2 linked regions of the Ovis aries genome follow. The protein of the gene in region 1 purifies or fractionates together with the protein of each later gene. This does not show direct contact. Links are inferred from orthologs where the notes say so. Each region holds a gene or a part of one and is shown on either strand. Other genes may lie near its edges.

Region 1 (7,401 bases):
CCCCGAACCAGGCTTGCAGTGGGGAGGGGAGGGGTAGAGGAGGGCTGGGGGCTGGGAGGGGAGCTGGGACAGGGTGGACAAGGAGGCTGAAGGGAAACAGTTAACCCAGAGCCTCTTACAGGCCTGCTGGCTCCAACTCGGGGGGCTTGACCAGGAGCCTTGGTCTCTAGGTCTCCAGTCCCACCCCTTCCTCTACGTGAGGGCTGCTTGCTCCTTGCCTCCTCTCTTGAACCCCAGCTATCCCCTGTCTCCCACACCCAGTCCCACGGATTCACTGGAATTGGCAGCTGCCCCCTGGGCCTTTGATGGGCATGTTCACCCCCAGAAAGCCCGTGAGCCACCGTCAGTGGTGACAGGCCTCTGATCACTTTCTCAAACCATCTGTGGATGGTGTGTTTTTAAAGAAACACCCAAGGGACCATTTTTCAGGTTTCCTGTGATGACAACGCCAAGACCTGGCAGGAAATGGAACCAGCTACAGACACAGGCCAGCCAGGGCCCTGGGTGAGCGCAGAGCGGGGGGACCTGGGTGGGTGAGGAGGGCAGAGCAGGAGGCTGGTCCATGCTCCCTCCTTCCTGTTGCTGGCAACCCTGCCATCATTCCTCCCGCTGCACCTTTGCAGGGGTGACCTCACTTACACACCCATCCCCAGGCCCTGCCTGGTCCCTGTGCTTCCCATGAGCCCTCAGAGTGGCCACATGCTCTCTGCATTCCCATGTAGACACACTCACCTGTGTGCACGGGCCCCTCCCACACAGAACCATGGGCCTGTAATAGTGGCTGAAGCACCACACCTGCCTGCCCCTCCAGGCCCCTCCAGGCCCGCCCATGGGCACAGCTCCCTCCTGAGGGCTCAGCCTTCCCAGCACCCTGGGACACGTGCAATGGGGGCCAAAACCCCCTGATCAAAGCCTGCTCAGAAACTGGGGAGGGGGAATCAGTTGGCCCCTCACCAGAAGGTCTATCAGAGGGCTGGAACGCTGATGTTTTGCAAACCTTCCAGAGCTTTCACCTCTCTCCCTCCACCTCCTCCCTCTGGGGATAAGTGGCTCCTCTGATCGCCCCTAGGCCAACAGGAACCCCAGCTGTGGCTCTGGAGAGGGGCGGGGCCCGTGTAGGGGCCACAGGGCAGTCGCAGGGAAGCAGAGATGCTGGAGCAGACCTAACAGCCAGGAGTGTCCTGGGAGGCAGAGTCGGTCCAGACAGGGAGGCGGGAGACACCAGCAGGCGGGCCTCTGGGGTGGAGTCTGAGGGCAGGCTGGGGGCAGGGTTCAAGGGAGGGCAGTGCGTTTCCCAGTGGCATCTGAGAAAGGGAGCCAAGTGTGCCCAGAAGACCCTGCCAGGCGCCCACCCTAGGAAAGGGCCGAGCCGGGCCTGGACTTCAAAGCAGCACAGACCCCTCCCTGCCCAGAGCCAAAGCACCTCCTGAAGCTGCAAAGACAGGGGGACAAAGCTTGGGGGAGCAGGGGAGGTGGTCCCCAGGGAGAGCACGTGAGGGCGGAGCGTGTGAATACCTGTAGATGGGGTCCATGAAGAAGGGCGATGGCTTGGCGTAGTGCAGGGGTGGCTGCTGGGGCAGCTGGGCCGGGCATGCCTTGGGCAGCCCCTCGCTGGGCCCCAGCCTGCGCTCGCCGTACACGTGGTTCTTGCGGGGCTCCCGGGTCCCTCCGTTCTGGCTGGCCCGTGCACGGCTGCCAATGCTCAGGTCCAGTGGCTGCTCCTCACCAGACACTGGGGCTGGGGGCACCTTGGGCGCCGGCAGGATGGGCTTGGCCTCTTTGGGTTTGGTGGTGAGGTCAAAGGGGGACTCGGCACTGGGGCCGCCAGCCTTGAGGGCGTCCCGGGGCGACTTTGGCTCGGCCTTGACCAGCAGGTTGTGGGTGAGGGCACGGTCCGTGAAGGGGTACAGGGAGTGAGGGAGGTGGGGCAGGAACTGGAAGGGGAACACGGAGTGGTAGGGCAGCGCGCCCAGCTTCTTCTCCGGTACGCCCATGAAGCCGGGCCCGAAGTACTTCTCAGCGATGGACGCGATGGCCTTGATGGAGTCGCCTGCCGCGCCTGACGCTGTCAGCAGCTGCTCCTGGGGCGGCGGGAAGAAGTGCTGGGAGTAGAAGACGGGAACCTCGCCCACACTGTTGGGGGCGCCTGGGGGCACCGTGCTGCCCCCGAACTCTGGCTTGCCCTCGGCCGCCTTGCCCTTGTCCTTGGTCTTGTCACGGTCACTATCCACATCGCTGTCTAGGTCGGAGCCTGTTCCCGTGGTCGTGTCCAGGTCGGTCCCAGTCGTGGTGTTGATGTCCTCGAAGTCGCTGCCGTCTGACAGGTCGCTGCCCCGGGGCTTGAGCTTGGTGGCATACGCCTCCTCCAGGTGGCCCTCCAGCTTCTCCTCGGGCCCCGCGGCCGCTGTGGTGCTCTGGCTACTGTTGCTGACAGCGGAGACAAGGGGCAGGGCCGGGTTCCCCAGGGGGCTAGGGAGCTTGGCGTCCTGCGTGTGGTTCAGGGGGCTCTTGAGCAGCGGCGTAGGAGGTAGCAGAGGCGGCCGGGGGTACAGGGATGGAGGGAAGATACCCGGGAAGCCGGGCGTGAGCGTGGGGAAGCTGGGGGGTGCCGCGGAGAAGGGCAGGCTCCCGGGGTGCGGCCTGGAGGGGAAGTACTCGCCGAAGCCCAGGCCGGCATGGTTGAGACCGGGGGGTGGCTTGGCCTTGTCCATCAAGGGGCTGGGGGTCAGGGGCAGGCCGGGTGCGAAGATGCCTCCCGGCGGGTAATGGTTCTTGCCCTCGCAGAAGCGCCGGTGCTTGTTGAGGGACGAGGTAGTGCTGAACATCTGCCCGCAGTCCTTGCACTTGATCTGCGTGCGGCAGTCCGCGTGCATGCGCTTGTGGCGGCACAGGTTGGAGAACTGCGTGTACGACTTGTGGCAGACCTCACCTGGGGCGGCAGGGCAGAGACAGCGGCGTGAGCGGAGGCGGCGGGGGCCCGCACTGCCCGGGGCTGGGGCACCGGGGGTCCGGCCGGGTGCCTGGAGTGGCGTGCGCCTGGATGTGTGTGTGTGTGTGTGTGAGTGCGTGTGTGCACATGTGTGTGCATGCGTGCATCACTGGGTATGAGCGCCTGCATGTGCGCTCAGGAGTGTGCATGCATGTAGATATGCACACAGGTCTATGGGCACGTGCGCTTATGTACATGAGCGTGTCATGCATGAGTGTGTATGTTCACAAACACGTTGCACTCTAACTGTGTCATCACATGTACTTGCACACATCTACGCACACGCACCCTTCCCTGGGATTGGTCTCTGGTGACCAAAATGGATTGGTGACGATGTCCCTGTGCCTCCCCTGGGGTCCCTGGGTGGCCTGGGTAGATCTCTACCCACTTCAGCCTTCTCCACTGGAGAATGGGCCCTGCTGCTCTGTGTTCTCCTGATCCCATGAGTTTGTCAGGTGGGACTGAGGTCTTCAAAGTTGCTCCCAGAGACGGGCAAAGACACGGCATACCCTCATGTAGGCAGCTGCACCTGCCCATCCAGACTCCCCACCAGGTCTCCCTACCATGCCAGCCACACTGTTCCAGCAGAAGCGAGTAAAACAACACCCCCTGGGCTAGGCCGCCCACTTCTAAGGTTTAAAATGCTCTCAGCTTCCCCCCTCGTTCTGCCTCCAGCCCTGCCTCCCAGGACAGGGAGGCCTCAGGAGCGACCAGCCCCTTGGGGTTCTTAATCCCCAGGCCTGGAAGCAGAGCTTCTGGCTGTGAGATCAGAGTCTGGGGGTGGCTAGAAGGTGGAGGTGGGAGGGGAGCCCCCGAGGGGGCTGGTTCCACATCTGAGAAAAGTGAGACCTCCCCAGACTGGGATGGAAAGGCTGCTCCAGCTCTGTGGGTAACAGGAGAGGGTGGCGGTGAGAGCCGAACGGCAGGCCCTGCAGGCCCTGGCGACCCAGTCTCACCATTTTCCCAATGGTGAGCTGAGTGTCGGCCAACCTCCAGTTTTTCTTTCTCTTCTTGTTTTCCTAACCAGCAACAGAGGAACACACACACACACACACACACACACACACACACACACACACACACACACACTGTCTGTCTCTCTCTCTCTGCAGGACGATTTGCTTTCTAAATGCAGCCCCCGTGGAAACAATGATTTCAACGTGTTTCTCGCTCTCCTCACACTCTCGTGGCCTGATGTCATGCGAATCTCGCTGGGAGCGCTGGCCCCGAGCTGATCGTGCTCTTTAATCACAATATCTATTTATATTAACGGCTCTGCCTTCCTGGCTGTCTGGCTTGGCGGGACGTTTTCAAGGCTGAGGGGGAAGAGCACTGCCTCGTTTAATCAAATCTGCCCTTTTTGGGAGGAGGCTGGTGCAGAGGGGCCGCTGCTCCTCGGGAAGGTCTATAAATACCCTCAGGCCGCCTGCCGACCCTCGAGGGAAGAGAGGCCACTCCCTGGCTCAGGGCTCCTGGCCAGACGAGTGACACCTTGCTACGTTCCCGGCCCTTGCAGAGGCTCAGTGACGCCCTCCGTCCCCCACAGTGGGGCTCCGTGGTACCTCATCAGTGGCTTCTGCCATCCTGAGCTTGGAAATGGCACCCTCCCAGGGCAACTCCCGGTGTGTGTGGTGGGGGTGGCTCGGGGACCAGTGGCCATGCCTGGGTGAAGGGAGCCTGGGACCTTTGCTTCCCATCCACCCAGTTACACGAGAAAAGGGTCCTGATGAAATGCTGGGGCTACAGAGAGGCCTCTGGGAGACTGAGGTCCCTGGCGAGGTGGGTCCTGGTCCTGTGATGGCTGGCAGATCTGGCGAAGGGAGCTGGCTTCCTGCAGGGGCTGGGAAAGGCCCAAGCAGCCCACCATGAGCTGGACATGGGACCAGTGCCTGGTGGAGCGTACCCGTGCCCTGCGGGACGCAGAGGGACCCTGGCCAGTGCTTGTGCTGGCCAGCAGTTTCTTTTCCTGTAGAGGATGTGCACACACACACACAAACTCACTCTCAAGAAGTGCATTTCCCTGACTGAGGGAGTGGGTGACCCAGGTGAGATGGGGGCTCAGTCACCTCTAGCAAGATAGCTGGAAGCCTAGGTTCAGGGCAGTGGGCAGGAGGTGAGCACAGCCCCAGCTACTCAACAAAGGCCTGACCAGCCAGAAAGTATGGCCTCTTTGGGGGAGCAGTCCAGTCCTGTGAGACCCCCACATTGGTGAAACCACTGAGACCCAAGTCCTCAAGTTCCCAGAGTTAGCTCCTCCCACCCCCAACATTGATGTGCTGGGACCCGAGAGGTACCAGGCCACCCAGCCTGGGGTCAGCAGCCAGGCCCCTGGAGCTGCAGCGGGGCCTCAAAGGCCTGGTCACTTCACACTGCCAAGACTGTTTCCTTCCCTGTCACTTCCCTTTGGTTGGGCACAGTGTGGTCCCTGGTCCGTCAGGTTTTGTAAGGGTGCTGTGAACTCATGTGTGTAAAATGATGGCTCAGCACAACCTCATGTGGAGAATGACTCAGCGCAATCTTATGTGAATGACCCTTAGTGTGGTGCTGATGTGGAGGATGAGTCGGGACGAGCTGGTGTGATGCTGACTCAGCAGAATACTGGTGCGAACTATGAGTCAGGACAACACTGGTGAGTTAAGCTGGCTGATGAGTCAGCTCTGTGTTGGTGTGAACAGTGACTCAGCACAATCTTATGTGAATGACTCCCAGTGCAATGCTGGTGTGAACAATGAATTAGGTCAAGGTCCTGTGAATGCTGACTCAGCAGGATGCTGGTGTGAACCATGAGCCAGGACAATGCTGGTGAGTTACGCTGGCTGATGAGTCAGCTTTGTGTTGGTGTGAACAGTGACTCAGCACAATCTCAAGTGAGATGACTTGGTGCAGTGCTAGACAGAAGAACCTTCAATATCTCCTAAACTCTGAGAAGTAGGGTCATGCTCCTGCATTGGCCCACTAGATTCCCAGGACCTAACCCTGTGACCTCTGACTCCTCTCCTATTACTTCCCTCCCCAGACACACCACAAGCTCAAGGCTTCTGTGCTCACAGTGCCCTGTCATGAGCCTTCTTGGCAGGCACCCCGTCGTTCTCACCCCACCCCCTGCCCACCTCCTCGAGCTCTCTGCCAGAACTTGGGTCACTCATAGACCATCCCACCTCCCAGCATATGGGCCAGATGACACCTACTTGGGCACCTGGAGAGCCTCCTGACCCTCCAGCCCTCCTCCCACCCTGGTGATGGTTTAGCTTCCATCTCCTCCACTGGCAGGTCAACGGCATGTGGACAGGGGTCCAGTTATTCATGGCTGGCCCCTGCCACCCAGGTTAGCACAGGCATGCAGCCTGGGGTCCCCAAAGGCTGCAGGTGAGTGGGAAGCACTGATATTATCACACCTGCTGGAGCTCTGGGCAGCCCGTGTGGGGTGGGGAAGGGGAGGCACGGAGGGAAAAGGTAAGTTGCAGGTCCTTCTCTGCAGGACCACAGGGATCTTCACTACCCACTGCCCACCTGTAGCCACTGGACGAGTGAGCCACAGGGAGGACCCAAGGGGCGCAAGAGGGGAAAGTGAGGCCAGAGCAAAATGGATCCCAGAGTAAAAGCGTGCGAGGGAGCAGGGTAATGATAAAGTGGCGCCAGGAGGCAGCCACCCCTGGGCAGAGGGATTGGCAGCTGCCGCAAGTATTTTCTGGACAGATGGGGTCCCACAAGCAGGGAAGAGCCTGAGGACTTCGCCCCCTGGCTGACCCCCAAGCACGCCCACCCTGGGCACGCTGGGAGGGAGCTGGGCGGGGCCGGGCGGGCCCTCACTCACATATGAAAGGTTTGACGGTGCTGTGGATGTGCTTGTGCTGCTTGAGGCCCGAGGAGGTGGCGAAGGTCTTCCCGCAGTCTGGGCAGGCGTGGGCCCGGGCGCCCACGTGCTGAGAGCGGATGTGTCGCTGCAGGTTGCTGGGGTCCGTGAACACCTGGGGACACAGACTCCGGCGCGTCACATTCTGTCGGTCGCTCCCTGTGGACCCCGGGTCAGGTCACGGGATGGGGGTCTCTCTGGGGGCTCTGCCCACCGCCCTGAGCCTGGCCAGACCAGTCTCTGCTGGGGCAGTGACATGCTAGATGGCCTTAGGTGGGCTGTCAGGCCTCTCTGGACTCTGGTTCTTCAATAATAATTCTCGAGAGAACTGTGGCCCTGAGGGTGCTCCAGACAGGAGCTCAGAAGCTTTAAGCTCCAGGTCTTTGACCCAGGAGTCTGTCCTGCCATGTAGGTGGGAACCCGAGAGGACCTGGTCTGGCCGCCCTCTCCTTCCCCATTGCGCAGCGCTGCACACTTCCTGTCTTCCTCTCGAATGACTGGGGGCCCGTGGTCCCCACGCGTGCTCTGTGTCTTGGCTCGGGTGGGGCCGGCGGGGTGA
Region 2 (7,401 bases), on another chromosome or scaffold:
AAGGAGCGTGGGGAGGGTGGGAGACGGGGGGCAGGCCGTGGGACAGGGACATCGCGCTGGGGACGATGCCCTCCACGGCGGCCGGGATGCCGCTGGGAGCCACGCCCACCACGCCCGGGGGGTACCTGCTGGGGGAGGAGGCGGCGCATGAGCCCGGGGCCGCCCCGTCCCAAGGCCGCCTGCCGGGTGCCCCGTCCAGTGTCCAGTCCCGCCCCGCTCCGTGCAGCCGAGACCCAGGACGGCGCCCCATCCACCACCCCGAAGGCTGCCGCCTGCTCGGGCGCGCGTGCCCCAGCTGCCCAGGGCCTCGGGGGCCCGGTGAGCACACGGCCGGCCCAGAGCCCCGCTTACCTGTAGGCGGCCCCATTGAGCTCGGGGTGCACCACGGCGGGGTCCACGCTGGCCCAGTGGGTGGCGGCTGCCAGGTGGTCCTTGTTGACGCAGTTTTTCAGGCTGTCAGGGATCCGGCCTGAGAAGCGCGAGGGGGGCGGGGGCGGGGGGGGGGCAAAAGATGGGGCCTGCTCCGGAAGCCGCCAGGGCCCGGTGAGGCTCTGATCGGGAAGGGGCCACCCCCGCAGGCGCACAACCCTCAGGCAGAGCGGGCTGCGCCTGTCTGGGCAGGGTCCCCCTTGAAGCTCAGGGACCCCCAGCCTCAGGCGGGTGACCTCAGCTCACTGGTGCCTGCTCAGACCAGAGGTTTCAGAGCTGATGGGCCCGCCCAGGAAGCTCGCACACAGACTTCGTCAAAGGTTAGGAGAAAGACACACGAGCTGACACCCCCAGGACAGCGAAGGCGGGTCAGAGACACGAAGCCAAGAACCCCTGCGTTCAGGGTCTGCGGCGTGGAAACGTCAGGCCCTGCTGGGTCTTGTCTCCTTCCGCGCCCAACCTGTGCCGCGCCCAACCTGTGCCCCGCCCCCAAGGCCCCCACAGGAGCCTGGGCCCCCCACTCCCACGCCCCCCACCCCCTCACCCCGCCAGCAGACGGACGCAGCCCCGCCCCGCCTACCTGTGATGGCTCGCCGGATCTCCCTGGCCGCCTCCTCACGCATCTCGATGGAGGCCTGCTCGCTGTACCAGGCCGCATGCGGGGTGCAGATCAGGTTGGGCGCGTCCTTCAAGGGGCCCTGGCTAAAGCTGCAAAGAGGTCAGAGGCTAAAGGTCAGAGCCTGACCCTGGCCACAGCCCACCCCCACTTGTCAGATCTGCCCAGCCCCTCCCTGACCACAGCGGGGAGGGTCTCAACTGGGGACACGCCCAGCCCCCTGTAGGTGATTTGAGCTCTCAGACCTGGGGCCCCTGAACACCCCTGCAGGCTCCACGGGTGAGGACCGCCCCCCCCAGGCCCTGCTGCCCGACAGCCTCTCGGCCGGGGCATCTATACACAGCCACCTGGGGGCCAGCGGCCTTGGACACTTGGCAGGGGGCCCTGGTCTCAGCCCTCCCCCTCCCCCAAGTGCAGGACCTGGGGCTGTCCTGGCCCGCAGAGCTGAGCTCCCCTCCCGCCGAGACCTGGCTTGGCCCTGGAGGAAGGTCTACCCTAGGCCAAGCTCAGGCTGGCCAAAGACAGGGCCAGGAGGCCGCGTGTGGGCATGGCCCCACCCCAACCAGGCCAGCCCAGGCTAGCGCAGCGCAGGAGCCACGCGGGCCCCACGCTGGGGGCCCCAGGAGCGGCGGGAGGCACCTGAAGGGCTCTGACTCGTGCACGTCCAGGGCCGCGCCGCGGATCCGCCCCTCCTTCAGGGCCTGGGCCAGCGCCTTCTCGTCGACCAGGCCTCCCCGGGCCGTGTTCACCAGGAAGGCCCCTTGCCTCATCTGGGAAGGACAGACAGTGGGCCTGAAGACGCCCCCTCACTGGTGCTGTGGAGGAGGCTCCCCCTGCTCCGAGATGGGGCACTGCCTGTGACCCCGCTTTCACCGCAGGGCTCTTCCCTGGTAGGCTCCTGTCTGTCCAGGTCTCATTGGTTCTCACGGATGGCACGGCCTGACCAACCCCCCGACCCCTGGAGGCCAGCCCAGCCTGTGGGAACAGTGTCCGGCCTCCCCCTCCACAGGGCTGGGGGCGTGGGGCAGACAACAGTCACAGCTCCACGTGTGCGCACAAGAATGTGCCGGCACTCCCACGCGCACACGTGTGCACACGCAGAAACATATGTAACCACGCGTGCGTGTGTCCGCACGTGCGTGACAGTCGCTCGGTCGTGTCTGACTCTTTGCGACCCCATGGACTATAGAGTCCATGGAATTCTCCAGACCAGAACACTGGAGTGGGTAGCCTTTCCCTTCTCCAGGGGATCTTCCCAACCCAGGGACAAGGTCTCCCGCACTGCAGGCGGATTCTTTACCAGCTGAGCCACAAGGGAAGCCCAACCATGTGTGCGTGTGTGTGTACACGTGTGGACAGACACAAGCCTAGAAACATGGACACACACACATCTATACAACCCACGTGCACACACGTGGAGGGCCACTGCCATCCAAACTTGCCCACACCCAGGTGTGTGCACTGCACGCGCTCGCAACACAGAAGCCTGTGCGCACACAGTCACTCGAAAGGCCCGGGACCCAGGAGGGGCCCGGCTCGGCCCGCCCCCCGCCCCGCCCCGCCCCGCCCCCGGCTCGGCCCGCCCCCCGCCCCGCCGGGCCCCGCCCCGCCCCCGGCGGGCCCCGCCCCGCCCCGCCCCGCCCCCGGCGGGCCCGCGGGCGCAGACCTGCTTGACGGTGAAGTCGTTGATGAGGTGGTGGTTGTGCTCGTTGAGGCCGCAGTGCAGGGTCACGCAGTCGCTGTGGAAGAGCAGGTCCTGCAGCGTGCTGACCCGCTGCAGCCCCAGGGCTCGCTCTGTGCCGTCCGCCAGGTAGGGGTCGTAGAAGAGCACGTTGAAGCCGAAAGCCTTGGCCCGCAGTGCCACCGCCTGCCCCACACGCCCTAGGGGGAAACGGGCGTCACCCCATGCGCTTGACCCCAGAGGCCAGGCAGTGGGCGCGTGGGAGACGAGGTTTCAGGGAGAAGGGCTGGGGCCCTGGGAGCACAGGCACCCAGCAGTCCAGCGGACCTGCCACAGGCAGCGCCGAAGCGGCTGGAGCAGCCACGGGCTCTGCGGGCGGGCGATGCAGGCCAGGAGCCCCCGCTCGGCCACTGCACTGCGGCACCCGGCTCCTCAAACCCAGGGAAGCCTAAAGAGGGCTTCCGTTTTCACGGACAAATGTGGAGAGTGCAACTGTGTGTCCGGCAGCTGCCCCTGCACGGGTCTTGGGTCCCTGGGAGCTGCACGCAGCGCCTCAGTGTGGAGCCACCCCAGCTGCAACCCTGGGCTCTGCAAGCGGCACAGGCACCGAGATCCCCACTTCAGCTCATGCCACCGGGGCCACCGCTCTGCTTTCAGGCCAAGGGAACCGGCACACAGGCTCTGGGGGTCCCTAGAGGGGCGCGGGGAGGGCTGGAGCACCCAGCCAGGGCCGGGGTCCCCAGGGCCGGTCTGACGGCCTCCAAGGACAACCAGGAGCCGGTTAGGATGCGGCCTCCAGGGCCTGACCACCCAGCAATGTCTGCACCAGCACTGCCTAGATGGGATGTGGCCCCAAACCCACCCGCCAGGAACATAACCCTGCACCCCTTCCTCCTCCTCCACCACACCGAGAGGGCCCACCGGCCTCACTCTGGCTGGTTCCGGGCACAGGGGCCCCGTTGCTGAGTGTAGGGTGCTTGCACAGCTATGGGGCTCTGACCAGCCCAGTGTCTGTGTGAGCAGTCCAGCAGGACAGCAAGTCACATCAGGAGTGGGCTGTCCCCACGTCTTCAGACGCCCGTGGTCCTGACCTGAGCTAACGCAGGTGCGTCTCTGCCCTGCAGCTCCCCACGGCTGCACAGCGGGGGCCTCTGCTGTGGAGAACCCTGGGGATCACAGATGGGATGCCCCCAGGCAGGGCAGGCTGCTCCGCCTACACTCTCCCTCCCCCGCTTCCTCAGCCCCCGAGGCCCGACCCACTCGCCTTGCCCCAGCACGCCTCTGCTCCCTGGTCTGCTACCTGGGCCCAGGGCGCTGGCCAGCAGGGCACGAGAGCAAGCGAGGGGGGCAGCAAGCAGCCTCCCTCCACCCCGGACAGGACTCAGGGCGGGCCCCTCGCCCCCACCTCACAGCCCTGAGCATTCAGCAGGTTGAGCGGGCATGAGCATGGACGCCCACAGGCCACGCATGACCCCGGCCACAGAGCAGATGTGACCCCGCTCCTGAGGGCACTTAGCACCTGGGTGGGCGTGTGGCCCCGCCTGCTGCTCCTGGGGCAGCTAAGAGACCCAGCCACCCAGCGCTGCTCCGTGGCTGGACAGCCATCCCAGGCCGGGGACCTGCCAACAGCCCGGCCCGGCCGGCCTCTCCGTCCACAGGCGGCTGCAGGCAGAGGCCAGCGCACCTAGTCCGATGACGCCCAGGGTCTCGCCGCGGATCCTGGCGGCCCCGGAGGCCACCTCCCGGATCTGCTCGACGCTCTGGACGCGTGTGCCCTCCCGCAGCGCCTGGTGCAGCCACGCGGTCCTGCGGTACAGGTTGAGAATGTGGCACACGGTGGAGTCGGCGGTCTCCTCCACGGACGCGGCCGGCACGTTGCAGACGGCAATTCCTGGAGATGCAAGGCACGCGGGGCGGTCACTGGGATGGTCTCGGGTGTCACCTGGGACAGGCCCAGGGACACGTCCTGGCCTGAAGGCCGAAGATCAAGGCAGGTTACCTGCCCCTGCCCTGGACCCCCAGCCACTGGACCCTCCTGGAATGGGTCTCAGCCAGGCCACTCTTCCCCAAGCAGCAGCCTCCCCTGCTCCTCCCCCCGCTGCCCCTCAGCATAAGGGAGGACGAGGGCGGGGGCGGGGTGGTTGGGGGGGGGCACGTGGTGCACGGAAAACTGAGCAGGAGGAGCTGGAGTCCCCATCAGACTCGGAAAGAAGGCGGCGCCCAACAGAGACCAGGCCCTGCAGGACTTCAGACATCCCTGCAAGAAGGATGCAGCCCCAGCTGGTGAAATCGAAAGGCAGAGGACCACCTCCGTCAGCAGGCACGAGGCCCAGGGACACGCCAGCTCAGAAAGCACCCAGCCTGCCGGGCGGCAGTGGGGTGGATGCTGTGTGGGGACAGGAGAGGGCGGGGTAGGCGCCGGGGGGACGGGAGACGGGGCAGGGGGTGGGTGGATGCTGGGGGGACGGAAGATGGGGAGGTGGGCGTTCCGTGGAGATGGGAGATGGGGGGTGGGCACTGGGGGGACAGAGCTCAGCGGGCACAGGCAGGGTGGACCGAGACGCATGGCTGCTGCCGGTGCAAGCGACTCTTTCTGCAGTTCTGAGCTGTCAGGGACCAGGTGCCGTGGCTGAGTGAGTCCCAGCCTCCCGCAAGGCGGTGACCAACTCAAAGGGGACCGAGAGGCCGCGGCCGAGCAGCACTGCAGGCAGGAACTTCCCAACAGAGCCCGAGGAAGTCTGTTCGCAGGTGCGAGGCACACACGTGTGCTCGAGCGTGCGGGCACACGAGCACACGCACATCCCCATAGGCACACCAGCGTGTACGCACTCCCAGGTGTCCTGACTCACAGCAGAAACTTCCTTCCTGGCCCCTCTAGTGAACAGGGCTGTGAGAACCCCGGCCCAGGCCTGCTGGCCGCCCCTGGATGAGGCCCCTGCCTGGGTCCTGGGGGGGTTCCGCAGGAGGGTGGGTGCGCTGCCGGAGGCCCAGGCCTCCTGAGGGATGGTGCCGCCAGCCCACGCCTGCCCGAGGGGAGCTGGCGCGGGGCCCACATGCGGAGAGCCGCGTGGACCCTGGCCCCCAGGCCCCCTCCGCGCGGCGGACTGAAAGCAGCGAGGCCGTGCCCAGGGCGACAGGCAGGGCTGCGGGGTAGGGCCCCGAGCGGCCTACCTAGGTCCCCAGCCGACTTGATGTCAATGTTGTCGAAGCCGCTGCCGATGCGCACGATTATTCGCAGAGCCTTGAACTTCTCCAGGTCCTCCCTGGTCAGCGTGATGGTGTGGTACATCAGCGCGCCCACGGCCTCGTTCAGGACCTGCAGCGAGGGCAGCGTGCTGACTGGCGCTGCCCCGAGCAGCCTGCGCCCCCGTGGGCACAGCAGGCTGTCTGGGTGGGAGGCCGCCCGGTCCCCGCACGAGCACCTGCTGTGACCCGAGGGTGACGGCGACCCAGCAGACACGCCAAGGACACCTGCCGGGTCGACAGAGGACGGGGCTCGCCTGACTGACACAGGGAGGTGGGGAGGGGGCTGCCCTCTCCCTGGGCACTGGACGCCCCAACAGATGGAAAACAAGGGCACTGGGAGGACCTGAGACCCCCAGAACCAGCGATGGCGGGGGGGAGCCATGCCGCCATGCACGACCCGCTCCCAGAAGAGGAGCTGCCGCGGGGCAGGGCACACGGCACCCTTTCACACCGGGAGGGGCAGACGTGGTCACCCCTCACCGTCACTGAGCGGGCCGCTCCCCCAGGAAGGGTTGGGGAGCGGCTGCAGCCTGAGGCCTCTGTCCTGGGCACCACGGACCTTGGGGGTGGCCTCCCCTGGCCCCGCACTGGAGGGGCGTCGAGTGCGGGCACAGGTTTTATGTGCGCTCAGCCAAGAGGCTGGCCTGGCCAGTGCAGACCCTGCGGGGGGCCTGCCAGCTCGGCCTCTACCCCGCGGAGCGTGGCTGGGACATCACCCTCCCCACGGGGGCTCAGGATGCCTGCGGGGACAGGGTGTGCATGTCTCAGCAGGGCTGCCCCAGGTGAGGCCCACATCAGCAGATAGCTGCCAGGGTCTCCCAAGAGCATGGCGCACAGTCCTCCCCACCCGAGGGGTCTGCTCGCGCTGCGCCCCAGCAAAGCCCCTACCTGCATGCGTGCACAGCCCCACCCACCCCACCGCTGGCTGAACCCAACGTGCTGCCAGCACCGGCCACCAGCGGGACGTGCCTGGCTGGGGGTGAGGGGCCACAGCCCAGGGCCAGGAAGGAGGGTCCGCTCCAGATGTGCTCTGAACAGCCAGGGACCTACCAGGTCTCTCTCTGGACCCGAGGGCGGGGCCCCAGAACTGGGCCACCTGGACCCAATGCATCACAGACTCCAGGACCTGCTGCAGCTGGGGACCCGGTTCATCCCTCCCTAACGGGCTGGTACAATCCACATCTCAGAGGCCACAGGGAGCCCATGGAAGCCCGGCCACAGCTGGGGACCCAGTTTATCCCCTGCTAATGGGCCGGTACAATTCGCGATGTCTCAGAGGCCATGGGGTGCCCACGGGACCTGTCGGCCACCCTCTCCTCTCTGGACGGAGCACCCCGTGCTGACCCGGGGTCCCTGGGAGGGTGGAGGCTGCTGGACTCCCAGGGCCGCAAGGGGCCGAGGCAGCGGCCGGCCTGCAGCAGACGCAGCG

The links.
Region 2: the proteins of PRDM16 (region 1) and CTBP1 purify together in Homo sapiens (affinity purification with mass spectrometry; 3 studies listed by BioGRID and IntAct, with this or other methods). This does not show direct contact. The link is inferred for Ovis aries from reciprocal best matches to the Homo sapiens genes PRDM16 and CTBP1.

The regions. Positions count from the first base shown.
Region 1 is NC_056065.1:48,988,380-48,995,780, forward strand, and holds part of PRDM16 (histone-lysine N-methyltransferase PRDM16), read right to left. Parts: intron 6,958-7,401; coding exon 6,804-6,957; intron 2,930-6,803; coding exon 1,516-2,929; intron 1-1,515. UniProt on the Homo sapiens protein: Binds DNA and functions as a transcriptional regulator. Displays histone methyltransferase activity and monomethylates 'Lys-9' of histone H3 (H3K9me1) in vitro.
Region 2 is NC_056059.1:117,908,596-117,915,996, reverse strand, and holds part of CTBP1 (C-terminal-binding protein 1), read right to left. Parts: intron 6,043-7,401; coding exon 5,898-6,042; intron 4,618-5,897; coding exon 4,411-4,617; intron 2,927-4,410; coding exon 2,712-2,926; intron 1,816-2,711; coding exon 1,685-1,815; intron 1,138-1,684; coding exon 1,010-1,137; intron 470-1,009; coding exon 352-469; intron 129-351; coding exon 1-128. UniProt on the Homo sapiens protein: Corepressor targeting diverse transcription regulators such as GLIS2 or BCL6. Has dehydrogenase activity. Involved in controlling the equilibrium between tubular and stacked structures in the Golgi complex.